Regions from separate parts of the Mus musculus genome. Here region 2 is reported to be linked to region 1. Evidence: microRNA targets listed by miRTarBase, many of them from high-throughput screens and not tested one by one. Region 1 holds a microRNA gene; the other region holds the end of a gene's coding sequence.
What was found. Region 1 holds the annotated microRNA mmu-miR-3064-3p (UGCCACACUGCAACACCUUACA, at 5,218-5,239, shown strand). A microRNA usually pairs through its seed, bases 2 to 8, with sites in the 3' UTR of a target mRNA and lowers its output. Matches are read on the target gene's strand: a 7mer-m8 pairs with bases 2 to 8, a 7mer-A1 pairs with bases 2 to 7 and ends in A, and an 8mer does both.

Region 1 (8,283 bases):
CTTTCGTTGGGTTGTTTTTTGAGGGGGGCCCCCCCTTCCGGTATCCCCGGGGGAAAGAAGGGGCGCTTTCGAGGTCCCCTGTGCCCCGTTGGGTGGCCTACGCCGGCGGATTCGGCCATGTGGCGGAGCCGCAGCCACAAAATGCCGGCCTCGGACATGGCGGCGGCGCCTTTGTTACCCCGCCCGGCGGAGGAGCTCAAAATGGCAGCGGCGAGAAAATGTGGCGCAGAGAGAAATGCGAGACAAAGAAGGAAGCGCCGCCCCAGCGGGAACGCCGCCCGGGCCGGGACTCCTCCCCCGGTTGCTTTCGGCTCCTCCTCTTTTTCTCCCTCGCGTTATATAATTTTGTTACCTTGGTTTGCAGCCGTTCGCGGCGTTTCCCTAGACTCGGCTCGCTGGCGCCTGTTCCCCTTTCTACCCTGTCCGCCGTGCTAGCCTCGTTCAGCTGCTCACATTGCCTTTGCGGCCCCGTTATTTCTTTAAGATTAGGTCCTTTGATGAAAACGGGCAAAAATAACCTTCCTAAGCTCCTCCCTTCTTGCCCAGCTCCTAGACGCTAATGCCTAAGCTCTGTGGGGAGAGAAGATGGAGGCTCTAACTCTTGTCCTTGTAATCTGGTCAGATGTTTGGGCTGTTTGCCACCTGATAAACCCACGATGTTTATTTGGCCTCAGTAGAGTGTGCTTGGGACTTCAGAAAAGAAACGCTGCCAGTTGTGGCTGTCCTTAGAATGACAGTTGGGAAGGATTCCAGAAGCACACTTTGGCTCTATCAAAAGGCAGCAGATGAAATGTGAGGGCAAACCTGTTCATGCAGTATCTTTCACAATGTGCCCAACTTTTGTTTTGTGTGTGTGTAGGTTTGGTGCACCTCGATTTGGAGGGAGTAGAACAGGACCCCTCTCTGGAAAGAAGTTTGGAAATCCTGGGGAGAAACTAGTTAAAAAGAAGTGGAATCTTGATGAGCTGCCCAAATTTGAGAAGAATTTTTATCAAGAACACCCTGATTTGGCAAGGCGCACCGCAGTGAGTTTATAAATGTGGCTTCTTCATGCTGTAACTCAGTAACTGCTTCTAGTCAATTAGATGGAAATGTAATAGGTGCCTTGCAAATGGAGAGTTGCTTGTGGTGCACTTCCATTGAATTTTTCTTGTGATATATGGTGCCCTATTTTAATCCTGTCACTGGGGAAACAGGTTTAGCAGTCTATTGGGCTTCATAGAGACTCAATTTTCATTTAAATAAGTATTATAAATTAATTATTAATTTTTGTTGCCAAGTAGAGTTCTTATTTATGGGTCCAGATTTTTAGAAATAAGTATGTTTAAAAGTTTATTGAGCTATAGGGAGCATGGCAGAAGTCTGAGGCTGAGATAATTTGTTTTTCAGCAAGAGGTAGATACATACAGAAGAAGCAAGGAAATTACAGTTAGAGGTCACAACTGTCCAAAACCTGTTCTGAATTTTTATGAAGCAAACTTTCCTGGTAAGGACTAACTTTCATCTTTATCCTTTCATTTCCCCCCCCCCCCTTGCTTATAAATTTGTTTTTAAAATGGTATTGTTGGTTGCAGCGAATGTCATGGATGTGATTGCAAGGCAGAACTTTACTGAACCCACTGCTATTCAAGCTCAGGGCTGGCCAGTTGCTCTCAGTGGATTGGATATGGTTGGAGTAGCTCAGACTGGATCTGGGAAAACATTATCTGTAAGTCTAGGAAAACTTGATAAATTGTGGCAGAGGTGACCTTAGATATATAACTATTTTAATCCAATTTCTATTATTTTTACTCTTCAATAGTATTTGCTGCCTGCCATTGTACACATAAACCACCAGCCATTCCTAGAGAGAGGTGATGGGCCTATTGTAAGTATTATCTTAAGTTTCCCACCATATTTGCTAAAACTCCTTTGACTTTCATATAGGGAATATAGGGTTGCCAGTATAAACTAGCCACTTAAAATTAGTATCCAGCCCAGGCGTGGTGGCACACACCTTTAATCACAGCACTGGGGAGGCAGAGGCAGGTGGATTTCTGAGTTCCAGGACAGCCAGAGCTACACAAAGAAACCCTATCTCGGGGGGAAAAAATTAGTATCCAAAGACAGTTAGTTGGATCAGCCAATTATAGATACTTGTCATGAGCCTGATCAAGATCAACTACCACAAGGAGAGACCAACTTGCAAAAGTTGCCTTCTGGTTTCTCCATGTGCTTCCACACACAAAAATTTTATCCTGAGAATAGTGCCTGGGAGGTAGAAACTGGAGAATTCAGGAGACACTGTCTCAAAAAAAAGTCTTATGACCACCTGAATTCTAATTCCCAACACACGAAGACATAGGGTCTTAGTAAACTGTTTTATACTAAACACTTTTTTTTGTTTTTCAAACTTAGTGCTTGGTGCTGGCACCAACTCGAGAACTGGCACAGCAGGTGCAGCAAGTGGCTGCTGAATATTGTCGAGCTTGTCGCTTGAAGTCTACTTGCATCTATGGTGGTGCTCCCAAAGGACCACAGATTCGTGATTTGGAAAGAGGTGTGTGACCATAAAGGGGGATCTTTGTCACTGATGGAGATGATGGTTTTGTGTATTATAGTTAAAGCATCTACTCCTTTTTATTTATTTAATTAAAGGTGTGGAAATCTGTATTGCAACACCTGGAAGACTGATTGACTTTTTAGAGTGTGGGAAAACCAATCTGAGAAGAACAACTTACCTTGTCCTTGATGAAGCTGATAGGATGCTTGATATGGGATTTGAACCCCAGATAAGGAAAATTGTGGATCAAATAAGAGTAAGTATCTTTATGTTATCATAAAAATCAGTTCTAGGAATGCTCTTAAGATTGAAGTGTAACTTGCTTCCTTAAATCTTCAGCCTGATAGGCAAACACTAATGTGGAGTGCAACTTGGCCAAAAGAAGTAAGACAGCTTGCTGAAGATTTCCTGAAAGACTATATTCATATCAATATTGGTGCACTGGAACTGAGTGCAAACCATAACATTCTTCAGATTGTGGATGTATGTCATGATGTCGAAAAGGATGAAAAGTGAGTTTACATTTTTACAAATTGAGAAAAATCTTACATAAACTAAGAGTAATCAATTCTGAAAATTGTCTCAAAATAAAATTAAGGTAGTGTGCTATATGTTCTTTTAAAAGTCCATTTGTTGGTGATATGGCTTGGTGTGATATGAAGAACTTGCTTGGCTTGCATGAGGAAAACACTCATAGTTTTTGAACCTAGTCACTACACAAGCACGCATAAAGTGATACACCTGAAAATCTGTATGTGTGGTGGCTTAGTGGGTTTGACATTTGGATTCACTAAGCAAAAAATCAGGGTTGTGTTTGGTTTTGTTTTTATATCCTTTTAAAAATGGTGAGTTTTTCTTCATCTTTAGGCTTATTCGTCTGATGGAAGAAATCATGAGTGAGAAGGAGAATAAAACTATTGTTTTTGTTGAAACCAAAAGAAGATGTGATGAACTTACCAGAAAAATGAGGAGAGATGGGTATGTGGTTTCCTGAGTCAAAGCAGACTTAAAAGTACTTTGATCTGGGGCTAGTGTTTTTTGGGAATCATGCGCTGTGATATAGGGGTAATTGTATGGATTCGTTCCAGTGACTTGTAGTAGGCTCTGGGTTGCAATGCTTAGTGGGAAAACACTTGGCCAAGATGAAGTACAGTGGGAATAGATATTGGTAGAGTCTTGACAAGAGTTTTAAGTTGGGTATACTACTGATAATTTAATTCTTGGTATAGGTGGCCTGCCATGGGCATCCATGGTGACAAGAGTCAGCAGGAACGTGACTGGGTTCTAAATGGTATGTATTTCAAATAAGATTAGTTTGTAGCTTGATAACATCATTTGCTTGCATTAATGATTATTCATGGTTGTCTTTATAGAATTCAAACATGGAAAAGCTCCTATTCTGATTGCTACCGATGTGGCCTCCAGAGGGCTAGGTTAGTACAAACTCGAATTCATGGCTTGGTTTCCCAGAAGATCTCCATGTAGTTTTTTTTAAAGAAAGTTTATTGCTTTCTTTAACCTGCATTTTTTCTAAGTTTTTTTCACATAAAGGTGCAGTCTTTGTGGCAAGGCCTAGGCATGACAATCGGAGGACTCGAGGGGGATGGAGGACTAGTGATCGGCTGGCTGCTTCCAGTCGATTAGAGAGGTGAAAAGCTGAAAGTGTGCCAGTAATCTTCAAAGGGCAGAACATACCACCTCTGCCCCATAAACTGTTCTCTCCGGGGGAAAAAAATGGAAGTTACCTCACAGTTCACTGCCGTGGTATTTCATCTGTCCCATGCTTTGCATGATTGCCATGGTACAGCATTGTTTCAAACTGTTCACTGTGATCTGTGGGTCTTTGAGTTTCAGTGAGTTTGCTGAAATGTCGAAGAAATATTTCCAAACTTCAATGTTCAATGAAATTTTTGTTCAAGTTTGAAATGGAGAGAGCAGCTTTAAAAGCCTTTTACAAATTGGTGAGTACTGGCACATGAGACCTAGAGCAGGACCAACTTCTCACACATAGTCAGTGGGAAAAGAAAGTGCCTTGAAAGTTCCTCCCTCACCTACACAGTAGTCGTCATGTCGAGACCTGCCAGAGAGAGACACATTCTCAAGTGAATCCTGGCTTCTTGGAAGCGCTTGCCTAGACGAGACACAGTGCATTAAAACAACTTTTGGGGGACAGGTATGTTTTTCTTGCAGCTGCAGTTGTAAGGTCTTGGCAAGACAAGCAGTGTGGCCAGAGTTTTGAACTTCTGATGAGTGTAATGCAAAGGACCTTTACATTTTTGTTAAAAGGTCCTCAAAAATGAGCACATGAAGAGATTGCTGAGAAACTTTTAATTGGCCCTACTGCGCAGAAGCATTCAGATGTCACTTGATGATCTGTAAGGGGACTGTCAATTTGGGAATGTGCTAAGGAGAACACACATTCCCTTGATAGGCTGTCAGTGGGTGGGTGTTAAGACAGCTGACATGTGCAAATTTTTTTGTTGTTTTTTGGGTGTTTTGGTTTTTTTTTTTTCCTACCCTGCCCTTTTTTCCTACCTCAATGGTGTTCCTACAGGAAATGGATAACCATTTTAACTGTATTTTTTTCAGCCCGTACCTTCTTGGGAATACAATTGTCTAACTTTTTATTTTTGGTCTGGCTGTTGTGGTGTGCAAAACTCCGTACATTGCTATTTTGCCACACTGCAACACCTTACAGATGTGGAAGATGTGAAATTTGTCATCAATTATGACTACCCTAACTCCTCAGAGGATTATATTCATCGAATTGGAAGAACTGCTCGCAGTACCAAAACAGGCACAGCATACACTTTCTTTACACCTAATAACATAAAGCAAGTGAGCGACCTTATCTCTGTGCTTCGGGAAGCTAATCAAGCAATTAATCCCAAGTTGCTTCAGTTGGTCGAAGACAGAGGTTCAGGTAAGGATCTTCGTAAGAGATGTTTCTGGTAGGTGGCAGTTACCTCTTGTCTACAAAGTGGGATCGGAAGAATGAGTACTTCTTATTTTGAAACCTAAAGAATCTAAAAGCACTTAAGACCCAACATAAATAGAGCTATCTAACTCTCTCCTATCTTACCACACTTATGCCACAGATAAAAATTGATCAATTTCCACTTACTTTCTTGACAGGTCGTTCCAGGGGTAGAGGAGGCATGAAGGACGATCGTCGTGACAGATACTCTGCAGGCAAAAGGGGTGGATTTAATACCTTTAGAGACAGGGAAAACTATGACAGAGGCTACTCTAATCTGCTTAAGAGAGATTTTGGGGCTAAAACTCAGAATGGTGTTTACAGTGCTGCAAATTACACCAATGGGAGCTTTGGAAGTAATTTTGTATCTGCTGGCATACAGACCAGTTTTAGGACTGGTAATCCAACAGGGACTTACCAGAACGGTTATGATAGCACTCAGCAATATGGAAGTAATGTTGCAAATATGCACAATGGTATGAACCAACAGGCATATGCATATCCTGCTACCGCAGCTGCTGCGCCTATGATTGGCTATCCCATGCCAACAGGGTATTCTCAATAAGACTTTAGAAGTATATGTAAATGTCTGTTTTTCATAATTGCTCTTTATATTGTGTGTTATCAGACAAGATAGTTATTTAAGAAACATGGGAAATGCAGAAATGACTGCAGTGCAGCAGTAATTATGGTGCACTTTTTTCGCTATTTAAGTTGGATATTTCTCTACATTCCTGAAACAATTTTTAGGTTTTTTTTGTACTAGAAAATGCAGGCAGTGTTTTCACAAAAGTAACTGTACAGTGATTTCAAATACAATAAATGAAGGCAATGCATGGCCTTCCAATAAAAGATATTTGAAGACTGAATTAAGTGAAATTGTACTTTATTTTACATATATAATGTCATGTACAACTTGGCTTAGATAGTGTTTTTGGGGGGGATTTTTGTTTTGGTGTTTATTTTTACACAAGGAAAGTTGACTACTTCCCATTCCTGGATTTAGGAGAGGAACTCAGAAGGCCCTTAGGATGATCTGTTTGTATGGGAAGAAGTTAGAGACAATGGATTTTATAATTCCAGATTTATTGGATAAAAGCTTTGTCATTTTTCAGTATCAGGGAAGTAAGTCATTTAATAGCCTATTTTCCTTAAGAGTGAACTACAGGACAGTAACTATATAAATACATGTTGATTTCTTTTGCAAAACAGTTTTAAGTAATGACATTTTTGCTTTATCAAAATTTTATTCCATCTCTTGGTTTTGTTGTCAACTGCCGAAATGTGCGAAGCTGAAAGACTGTTAGCCCAAGAGCTGTGTGCACTGTGTCTTTAGTGCAGGATTACCTTGTAGGTTCCTAGTCCTCGAGGACTTGCCAGAGTGCTTATAGCCACACCTGGAAGTCAGGAATGTCTCCACATTATTTCAGGGGATTTTAGGGGTCTTGTAGGCTAGTCACAAGGAAGACGACATAACCAAAAGCACAGTAAAGTTTTCGGGTTAGGTTCACTATGGGCTTAACAGCTAGAAGGATTGGGGGGAAAGCTTTAGATTTAAGTAGGATCACCAGCAAACAGCTTTGTTTCAGAATGGCTATAAGTAGGTCTAAATGTCTTCCCAAAAAATTGGTGTGTTTTTTGCCCAGGACAAAAGTCTTAAAGGAAGTTATTTAACTTTTTGTTTTTAAAATGGGCTTATTGTTAATGCCTTATTTATAAAATGTTAAAACAAAATAGAATGTGCTGGGGGTGGGAGCTGGGCGTGTTTTCCAGGGCTGATAACATTGAAAACTGGTTCATCCTCTAGTACTGAGTGGTTTTCAATGGCATGGCTAGTCAGATTCATGATTTTTAAGTATAGGTGTAGATTGGAGCATTTATTACATATTTTACTGTTCAATGTCTTAATGTGGACCTTTTATTTTGTAAATAATTATGGAAATGATTGTGGGGCTTGGAAAAAATTACCTTTGAAGTTTTAAAAGACAGTCCACTTTTTAGCATGTGTGTTGTGTCCAGCCTGTGGTTGTCTTAACTAATAAATGTGATTTTTCTCCCCATTCTCTTCATTTATTTATTCGCGTAGAGGCCTCTTACCTGGGTTTTTGCACCCCCGCCTTCCCCATTCCAGCTATCCTGGAATTTGATACATAGGCCAAGCTGGCCTTGAAGTCAGAGATTGTCCCTTATGCATATGTTAACATAGGAGTGAGCTACCACAACAGTCCTGCACCTTATAATCAAACTCCAGTATCAAAAACACCCCTTTGTCCTAGTCAGGTATTAACTGATTTCTACGAGAAGGGAAGTACAGAGGTTAAGAGCACTGCTCTTCCAGCAACCATACGGTGCCTCACAACCACCTGTAGTGATGGCCTCTTCTGGTGTGTCTGAAGACAGCAACTCACAAATCTTTAAAAAAAAAAAAAAAAATTCTTTTTAAGGAGGTGGTTAATAAATTCCCGAAGCCCTTTTTAAGACCTGGTCACCCTGTCTGTCCAGCCACACCCGGGAGAGAGTGGAGTGGCCATTGGTGATAATGTTTGCCAGCATTAGTATAAACTAAAAGTGCACAACACATTCCCTTGGAGACTGAACGCTAAGCCTCACATCAGTACCGTCCAGGACAACATTTTGGAAGGGGTTTTTTTCGTTTTGTTTGGCAGCTCGGAAAACCTGATGCTAACTCTATAGTAACAGGATTGTGGTAAAAGCTAAACAAGTGAATGTGAGGCAGGTGGAGTTACCAAACGGAAAATCCCAA
Region 2 (7,533 bases), not on the chromosome of region 1:
CGATAAAAACCAAAGAAAAAAGAAACCAAGTGGCCCAGCAGCAGACTTGCATCTAGTACCGCAAGGTTAGGACCTAAACAAAGACATAGCTGCATTTTTTTTTTTTTTTTTTTTTTTTTTTTTTTACCACCAATGTGCTATGTTCACAATACTTGGGAATTACCACATACCATGTTATGGAAAAATATTTAATTCCACTTATTATAAGAAAATAAAACTGGCCTAATCTTCCAAAGAAATCAAAAGATTGAGTAGGTCCCTTGAAGGTGGGCATTGTGTGATCTGATTGCTTTAGAACCCAGCATTGAACATGGTTATGAGGTAAATAAATGGAATGGTACATACCTGCCAGGATAGTTTTCATAGAGTTCTCAGTCACTACCAGTCTACAGAATCAACTTCTGTAATACCATCACCACGTGAGGTAAAGGTTATCATTTTAGAAATGTAATTCACAATAAACTGATTCTTCTTGCTTTTGCTTTTGCTTTTTTACGATGTGCAAAACATACCAATTTAATGTTTCTTTTCTCAGATGGAGGCCAAAGTAAAGGGGACACTAAGTTACCACGGAAACCTCAGTGACTTTCCAGCAAGGGGGAGAGGAACCACTTGGCTGGCTGGCGGGACCGACCTGATGGGAAGTCTTGGCGGTCACAGGGCTGCTGTTTCTGTCCATGTTTACATGCTTGTCCCAAGCACTGTGGTGAGGAGGAAAAGAGAGAAAATGTTACTTGAGCAAAGCCAGTGCAGGAGGAAGAGATGCTTTTGTGCAAAGTCAGGGAGCTTTGGTCTTTTCAAACCCAAGCCCCCATGTTAACCAACTTAAAGCAGACTCAGCTGTCAAACCCACAGAAGTGTCAATCTGACTGTATTTAAAAAAAAAAAAAAAAAAAAAGGAAAGAAAAGAAAAGAAAAGGAAAAAAACTGGGGAAGAAGGAAGGAAGTTAAGAGGATTTGGGTAAATGGCCATCCATCCTGGGGGTTAGGTCTGAACACTCTACAGATAAGTGCATAATAAAAGCAGCTACAAGTAGAATTAGCCCAGTTTAAGGAGACTCAGTCATGTCTGTCTAGTAGACAGATTTTCCACAGTCAGTTGCATGAGGCTCTCCAGACAGTTGCCGAAGAGTACTGTGCCCTGAAATGTCCTGAGCAAACTTGAATCTTCTCCAGTATATAGCAGGTCCCCGTGCGAGTCAGTGGCCTGAAGATACTTTAGCAAAGCTGCTGTGACACAGTGATGTGTAGTACTATAGCTTCTAGGTTTTTAAAGTCAGGAAAAGGAGCCTGTGCTCTTACGAGACAAAATGTAGATAATCCCTTTTTATAAAAGGGTCAGTTTCACCCTCCATTCAGAAGTAAGTACTGCACTCCTTTCCACAGTTCACTTGTCATCTGGTATTGACTGGTTAATAGTTATTTCTCGTCCTGATATGCAGAAGTGACTGCTCGCATTTTCTCTTGACATGTGCGTCTTTGTTGTTGGGCTGCTGCTTTGCTGCTCATCTCTCTTGCAGCCTGCCAAGAACTGCAAACTCCCAGTTCCCTCCCTGCACAGTGCTCTTTCACTAGCGGTACTTTAGGTGACTAGAGCTGTTGATATAAACAGGAGTGTGCACAGCATCTGTCTCTTCATGGGTCAAACAAATAGCGTATGTATAATAGTGGACTGTTTTTCATTCTGAAGTGGTATTTTTAAAGGGATGAAGTCTAATAGGAATACGGATGTGCACAGGATGTGCACAAAGGACCACCTGTTATAACTATCACAATGAAGCTTTATGACCCATGCCCAGCGCAGGATGTTTTCAGCATTTGGGATCTTAAAAGTTTTACTATGACTTACTCAGAATATTAATATTCAAGTCAGCCTACAGATTATAAGATTCGTTAATTCTAGTTTTCATATGCGAATAGAGGCAATGAAGGGTGTGAAGGGGAAAACACAATTTTCTTGGGATACATTTTATTTTGCCTCAGCTATGTTTGTGGTGTCCTTGAATTTTAAACTTCTGAGTATTTTCAGACTATCCAAGAAAAAGCTCTGAGTGATACAAATTTAGTTTATATATGGTGACAGACTAGCCTGGTAATAACAAGATTGCTTCTATAATCTCATTACATATTACTCTGTATCATTTAAGTTTATTCAGATAAGAGTGTTAACCAGACCCCATTTTCCTTTGATGAGCAAAAGTCCCAAGAAGCCTCTAGGACTATAATAACCAACCGCAGACCTGCTCCAATTTTTATGCCTATAATTTGACTTCAAAGTTTCAATGGCGTGCTTAATAGCAAAAAAGTCAATGAATAATTGAAAGCTTTAGTTCCAAGAACTCGTTACAGTAAAGGAAGATGATTTTTTTTTTAGAAGAACATTGAAACTAGATATGATGGCCCATGCTTGTAATCCTAGAATTCAGGAAGCTGAGGCAGGAAGATCTCAGGTTTGAGGCCAGCCTGAAGTATTTAGCAGCAAGTCCCATGCTAGTCTCTACTGGACTAACAATGAGAGCTGTCTGTTTCCAACTGTCTTATTGTCTTTTAATGTTCAATTAATTAAAAATCTATTGGACTTCCATATCAGGTGTCCCTGACAGCAAGTTCTTCAATGTCACTTGCTGCCATATGAAAATAATCTTTAAAAAGTTCATAAAGTTCTTCAAAAAACTGGGGCCCCTTGCTCCAGGCTCCTTCGCGCCTCTTCTCCTTCCGGTTTGGTGCAGAATGGGTTGTGAGCTGTGTTTTTTTCTTTTTGTCCTCTTTTGTTACTAACATTTTTCTTTTTCTTTTTTTCCTTTTTCTTTTTTAAAATAAAAAGCATAGATTTCCCCTCCTTACCCCTCCTTTTACAATGGTCTCTTCTCCGCTCTAAGTCCTCCCACTTCCTAGTTCAAGTTTCATTTGTGCCCCGACTGCCCCCCTCCCTGCCCCATTGCATTGTTTGTGTGCGGCACCTGCAGTAGAAAATCCCAGCTCTCCAGGTCGGTCTGGGAGCTCCTCCACCCTCCTCCTGTCTCAAAAAAGAAAAAGAAAAAAAAAGAGAGAGAAAAGAAAAAAGGAAAACAAACGAAAGTAATCACTGATATAATTTCTTGACTGTAGAAATTTACTTTACCAATAAAACAAATGAGGAGGCTATGTAAGCCCCAGTAGATATTTTGGAAAGATATTGGGATGTTGCAGAGAAGTTTGACTTGAATTTAGCACGTTAAGGTTCATTTGAAAGGTCTCTTAGAGAAACTTGATCAGCTCTTACGCCAGCACCAGGAAACTTCGTTTCACAGGCCTGCTTATACTTCATAAATTGCTGTACTGGGGTGTCTGTTGAGGAAGGCAGCCTGTACTTCATTTTCTCTACCCAGAGAGAAGTCCATGTGTGTTAGTGTCTCTTCTTGCTGATACTTGTGTATTTGTGTATTTGCAGACACATACATATTCATATAAATCAATCGATATTAAAAGTCAAACAATAATTGTAGGTTCTTAAATCCATCGATTCTGAACCATGCTATACGAAGACCCTTGATGGTTCTCTTTCCCATGTCATTTTATAAGATTACCCTGGGCTCTGAGACTATGCTGTGTAAAATATATCCTGTTTTCTGTCAGTCTTGACTCCTTAAGGACTGCTGCCAGATCCCCAGTCCAGCAACCCTTTCATGTTATACAAGTGAATCAAAGTCCTTTCTAAATGTAAATACATTTCTTTCTATATCATAACATTGAAAATGGTGTCCATACTTTATGGTTACCTGTCTTTACAGTTTTTATTACTAAACAAGCATATAAGTTGGTTATTTTTTAACAGAGACTTGCAATTCATACTGTATTTTTGCACTTAAAGTCAAATTATGTTATTTTTAAAATGGTGAATAACTGGAAAGGATATCTATAGAGCAGTGTGTATCACTAAAGAACGTTAGCAACATCCAAATGCAGAAGTAAATCAGCACACGTAGGTCCCATTCGATGGGGTCCTTGATTCAGGAATATTAAACTGTCTGTTTCCAACTGTCTTATCTTTGAAATTGCCTTCACTGATGTGATGTCTAAGCTGTTACTGTATATAAAGGTGATCCTCAGTATTCACAAGCAATAACAGTCAGCAGCGCTGTCCTCGGGCAGCAGTGCTGGACCACAGCTGGAGACTGTTTGCGAGCCAAGTGTCATGCTCACTCAGAGCCTCCAAAGTAAATGCAAGCAATAATCTCTACTAAAATCAAATTATAGTTCTTCTCCTGCTTCTGAGAACAAAGAGTGAAAATCATGATTTTAAAACAATCTGGAGAAAAGGTTTGGAGAAAAGAAGCCAAGTTAATGTATAATAACAAAGTCCTGATATTTTGAAGAAATCAAGAAGATTCAATTAGTACATTCTTTCATGCCCACCACCCCTTTGATGGATGTTATTAGCCCAAATTATCTTGTTTTGTGTCATAAACAATAAATAAGGCTTATTTGGGTCCCAGCACTGGGGAAAGAACTGGGCATATACCTGTGGGTATATATTGACTGTGGGTTTGACACCTGCTTGGAAACAGCTTATTGAAAGTGATCTTAATCCAGAATATTTTTTCCCAAAGCAGATCTAAATTGTTTACTATGCAGAGATGGAAAGGGTAGGCACCCCTATTCTCTCTCCTCTTGTTGTCCTCTCCCACAGCCCTTCCCACCTCTCCTTGATTCAAGACTTTCTAAAATGAAAATCCTACTGTTATTGCGACTGCCATTGGTTATGAGAACTCTGTTCTTTGGGAATGTCTCTAGAACTCATTGTCCTACTTGCTGCTACATTGGAAGATGATCTTTGCCTGTGTTGGCTGACTTTAACTGCTTTATTTGTAGGAGACTTTGTCATGTCCTTTGACCCTGTGTAGAAGAACTAGGGTACTTTACTTTAGGAGTGTACTATAAAAGCACACTGGTCCTCGTATTGTTAGAGAAGTTTGGGATTTGTTCCCCTTGTTGGTTTTTGTTTTGTTTTATTTTTCAAATTGAAAGTAGAAGAAAGAAGTCTATAGTCCAGGCCGGACTTGAGCACTGCCCTGTGCTTCAGCACGGTGCTTCTGCTGACCCACGTTCTCTGAAGGGCACTTTGATTTCTAGTTGTGCATGTGCGGCTCTTTGTTTGGTTTTGCTTTCAGGGTGCTTTTGGTTTTGTAAAAACAAAGCAGAGAAAAGTACAGTAGTAGATAAATGATCACAAACATGTTATGCAATTTTATTTTATAAAGTTTTAAGGGAAAAGTTTATCTCGTTGTAAATAAGTTCTTATCTCTGGTAAAATGCTTATATTACTCCTCTAAACCATGCTCAATTCAGGCCTTTGTCTTTGTTAAGTGCCTTTTATTTCTTTCTTTTTCTCCCTCTTTTGAAACTTTCAAACACCCTCAAGTACAGACTGATGAAGTCAGGGGATTCAGGAGAAAGAATCTGAGCCTTGCCAAAATCATGTCATGTAATAATTCTCTTCCTTCTGCTTTGTGTGTGTGGACACAAGTATGAGGTACACAGCGTGTATGAAACCAGGAGCAGCTGTGCCATGGCAATCCTTCTAAGCACTGCCCTGTTGACATTGCAGAACTTCTGCCTTGTTTATTCCATTGCTTTGAGTTGATTCAGATGGGCAGATTGGGAAGTAGTCTTTGCACATGATGCTGGCTTCCCTTTCTGAATATCTGTAGAAGTTAATATATATGTGTGTGTGTGTGTGTGTGTGTGTGTGTGTGTGTGTGTGTGTATATATATATATATGTAGGGCATTATATATATAAAGCATATGTGTTGGTTATTGCAAACATAATAAACTCTGTGGACTCCTTGACTATTTCTGGATGTAATCCACTTCTCTCTACCCCTCAAATCTTTCAGTAGTAGTGTGTGAGAAAGCATCAGGATAACAAGAGCATTTGTTGGTCGAGGTGATACGATGCCCTATGCAGACAAGATTCAGTACTAGTGCTAGAACCATGGGGTGGTGTCTGAATACACTTTGGAGGAGGTTGGCACTCATGTCAATATTAAAAGACGTTTTCTTCTGGAAAATGATCTTGAAATTGTATATCTGAAACGTCAATAAACTTAGATTTTTAGACAGTGAGGAAACACTTGTATAATCAGGACGTACTTGAGAAATGTTCAGTCTGTTTATTGCCAGATGATCAGATTTGCTCTGATTTCATGATTGTTTAAATGTCTTTCCTGAGCAAAATAAAATAACTTTCAGTATCTAAGACTTGAGGGGGGGGTTCTGTTTTGTTTTTGTTTTTAGATGTAACATGTTGAAAAAGACTAAGTTGAACTGATCCTCTGTATATCTACAAAGGACCCCCTTTTAAGTAAAATTTTAGTTGAAAAAGGAGACTTGTGGCTAAAAGAAGAGGTTCCTGTAGCAAAGCTGTTGTTAGCCAGCTTAGGATCAGTAGTGAGTGTTAATTCCTAAACTACTTTATCTAGGGGGAAGTCATTTAACCTTTGTGCCTCAGATTACCCATGAGACAATTGGGTATAATAATAATCACCTACCTCCCAGGGATATCAGAGACTTTACTATTTCAAAAATATTTTGTTTTTCTAAAACATTCTATATAATTATAGTATTATCTTCCTGCAGAGGTTGAAAAAAACAAATGTTTTTCTTATAGTGGATATAAAGAGCACCCTATGGTCTTTAAGTTAAAAAAAATCACTGGAATTTTAATTTAGATGTATATTTGATATTTAAACATACCATATTTGTTGTGTGGTATAATTATTAGTTTCAGATTAAATCAAAGGGGAATGAACACTAAGTTTCTTAACTATCAATAGATTTTTTAAAGCTTTTATGATGTTATTACTTGTGTGATATTTGCAAAGGTTGTGAAAGTAAAGTTAGATAAAGTTTGAATTATGGATAAATGATCCTGAAAGTTTATAGCCTCCTTTGTCTACATTCTGAATCTAATTTCCTTGCAGTACTTGCCTGGTGATGGAAAACTAATTTTTTACCTTTCTAAGAGTAAGTCAGATCCTGGCATACGACTCCTGCATCAGTAGGACTCTCCACCTTTGCCTGGGGGATAAGGCATGAGCAGCCTACACTAGGGCGGCTGTGCGTTCTTTTAACTTTGTATTTCATGCTTCTTCAGCCAGAGCCATCAACTGTTCGGGTTGTAGTAAAATGGGAGGAAGATCGACAGGATTCACTCCCTAGCTAGGGCAGAGGTAAAGATGGTCAGGATAGAAGGAAATATGATTTCCCAAACTCCTGGGAGGAAATTAGCATCATTTTATCTTCCCCTCCAGGCATGCACACTAAGTAGTAATCCATAACATTTTTCTCTTTAAAACGATAACAACAGGAACAAATGGGTACTACAGTTTTTGTTAGGGCTGAGTAGTGCATGTGAGAGTGGGGGCGGGAGGGGGGTAGTCTAAATGACAGCGAATATTCAGGGTCAGAGAGAGTGGAGTGCAGGGTGTTGAGGAGCAATTACTCAGCTCAGGTGAGTTAGGAGGTAGCACTGGGCTGAAGCAGCCAGCACA

Region 2: miRTarBase lists Ubn2 as a target of mmu-miR-3064-3p. The part of its 3' UTR that is shown has no 7-base or 8-base seed match.

Annotation. Positions count from the first base shown.
Region 1 is chr11:106,779,651-106,787,933 of GRCm38, reverse strand. Mir3064 (microRNA 3064) reads left to right here and starts at 5,175; the gene lies at 5,175-5,241. It overlaps Ddx5 (DEAD box helicase 5), which reads left to right. Exons shown (of 13, transcript NM_007840.3): 2 at 860-1,025; 3 at 1,390-1,486; 4 at 1,575-1,708; 5 at 1,802-1,867; 6 at 2,398-2,539; 7 at 2,638-2,798; 8 at 2,882-3,054; 9 at 3,410-3,520; 10 at 3,772-3,833; 11 at 3,916-3,975; 12 at 5,241-5,465; 13 at 5,678-7,578. The coding sequence ends at 6,084.
Region 2 is chr6:38,501,703-38,509,235 of GRCm38, forward strand. It overlaps Ubn2 (ubinuclein 2), which reads left to right. Exons shown (of 17, transcript NM_177185.4): 17 at 536-7,533. The coding sequence ends at 585. It overlaps Mir7670 (microRNA 7670), which reads left to right and starts at 5,623; the gene lies at 5,623-5,691.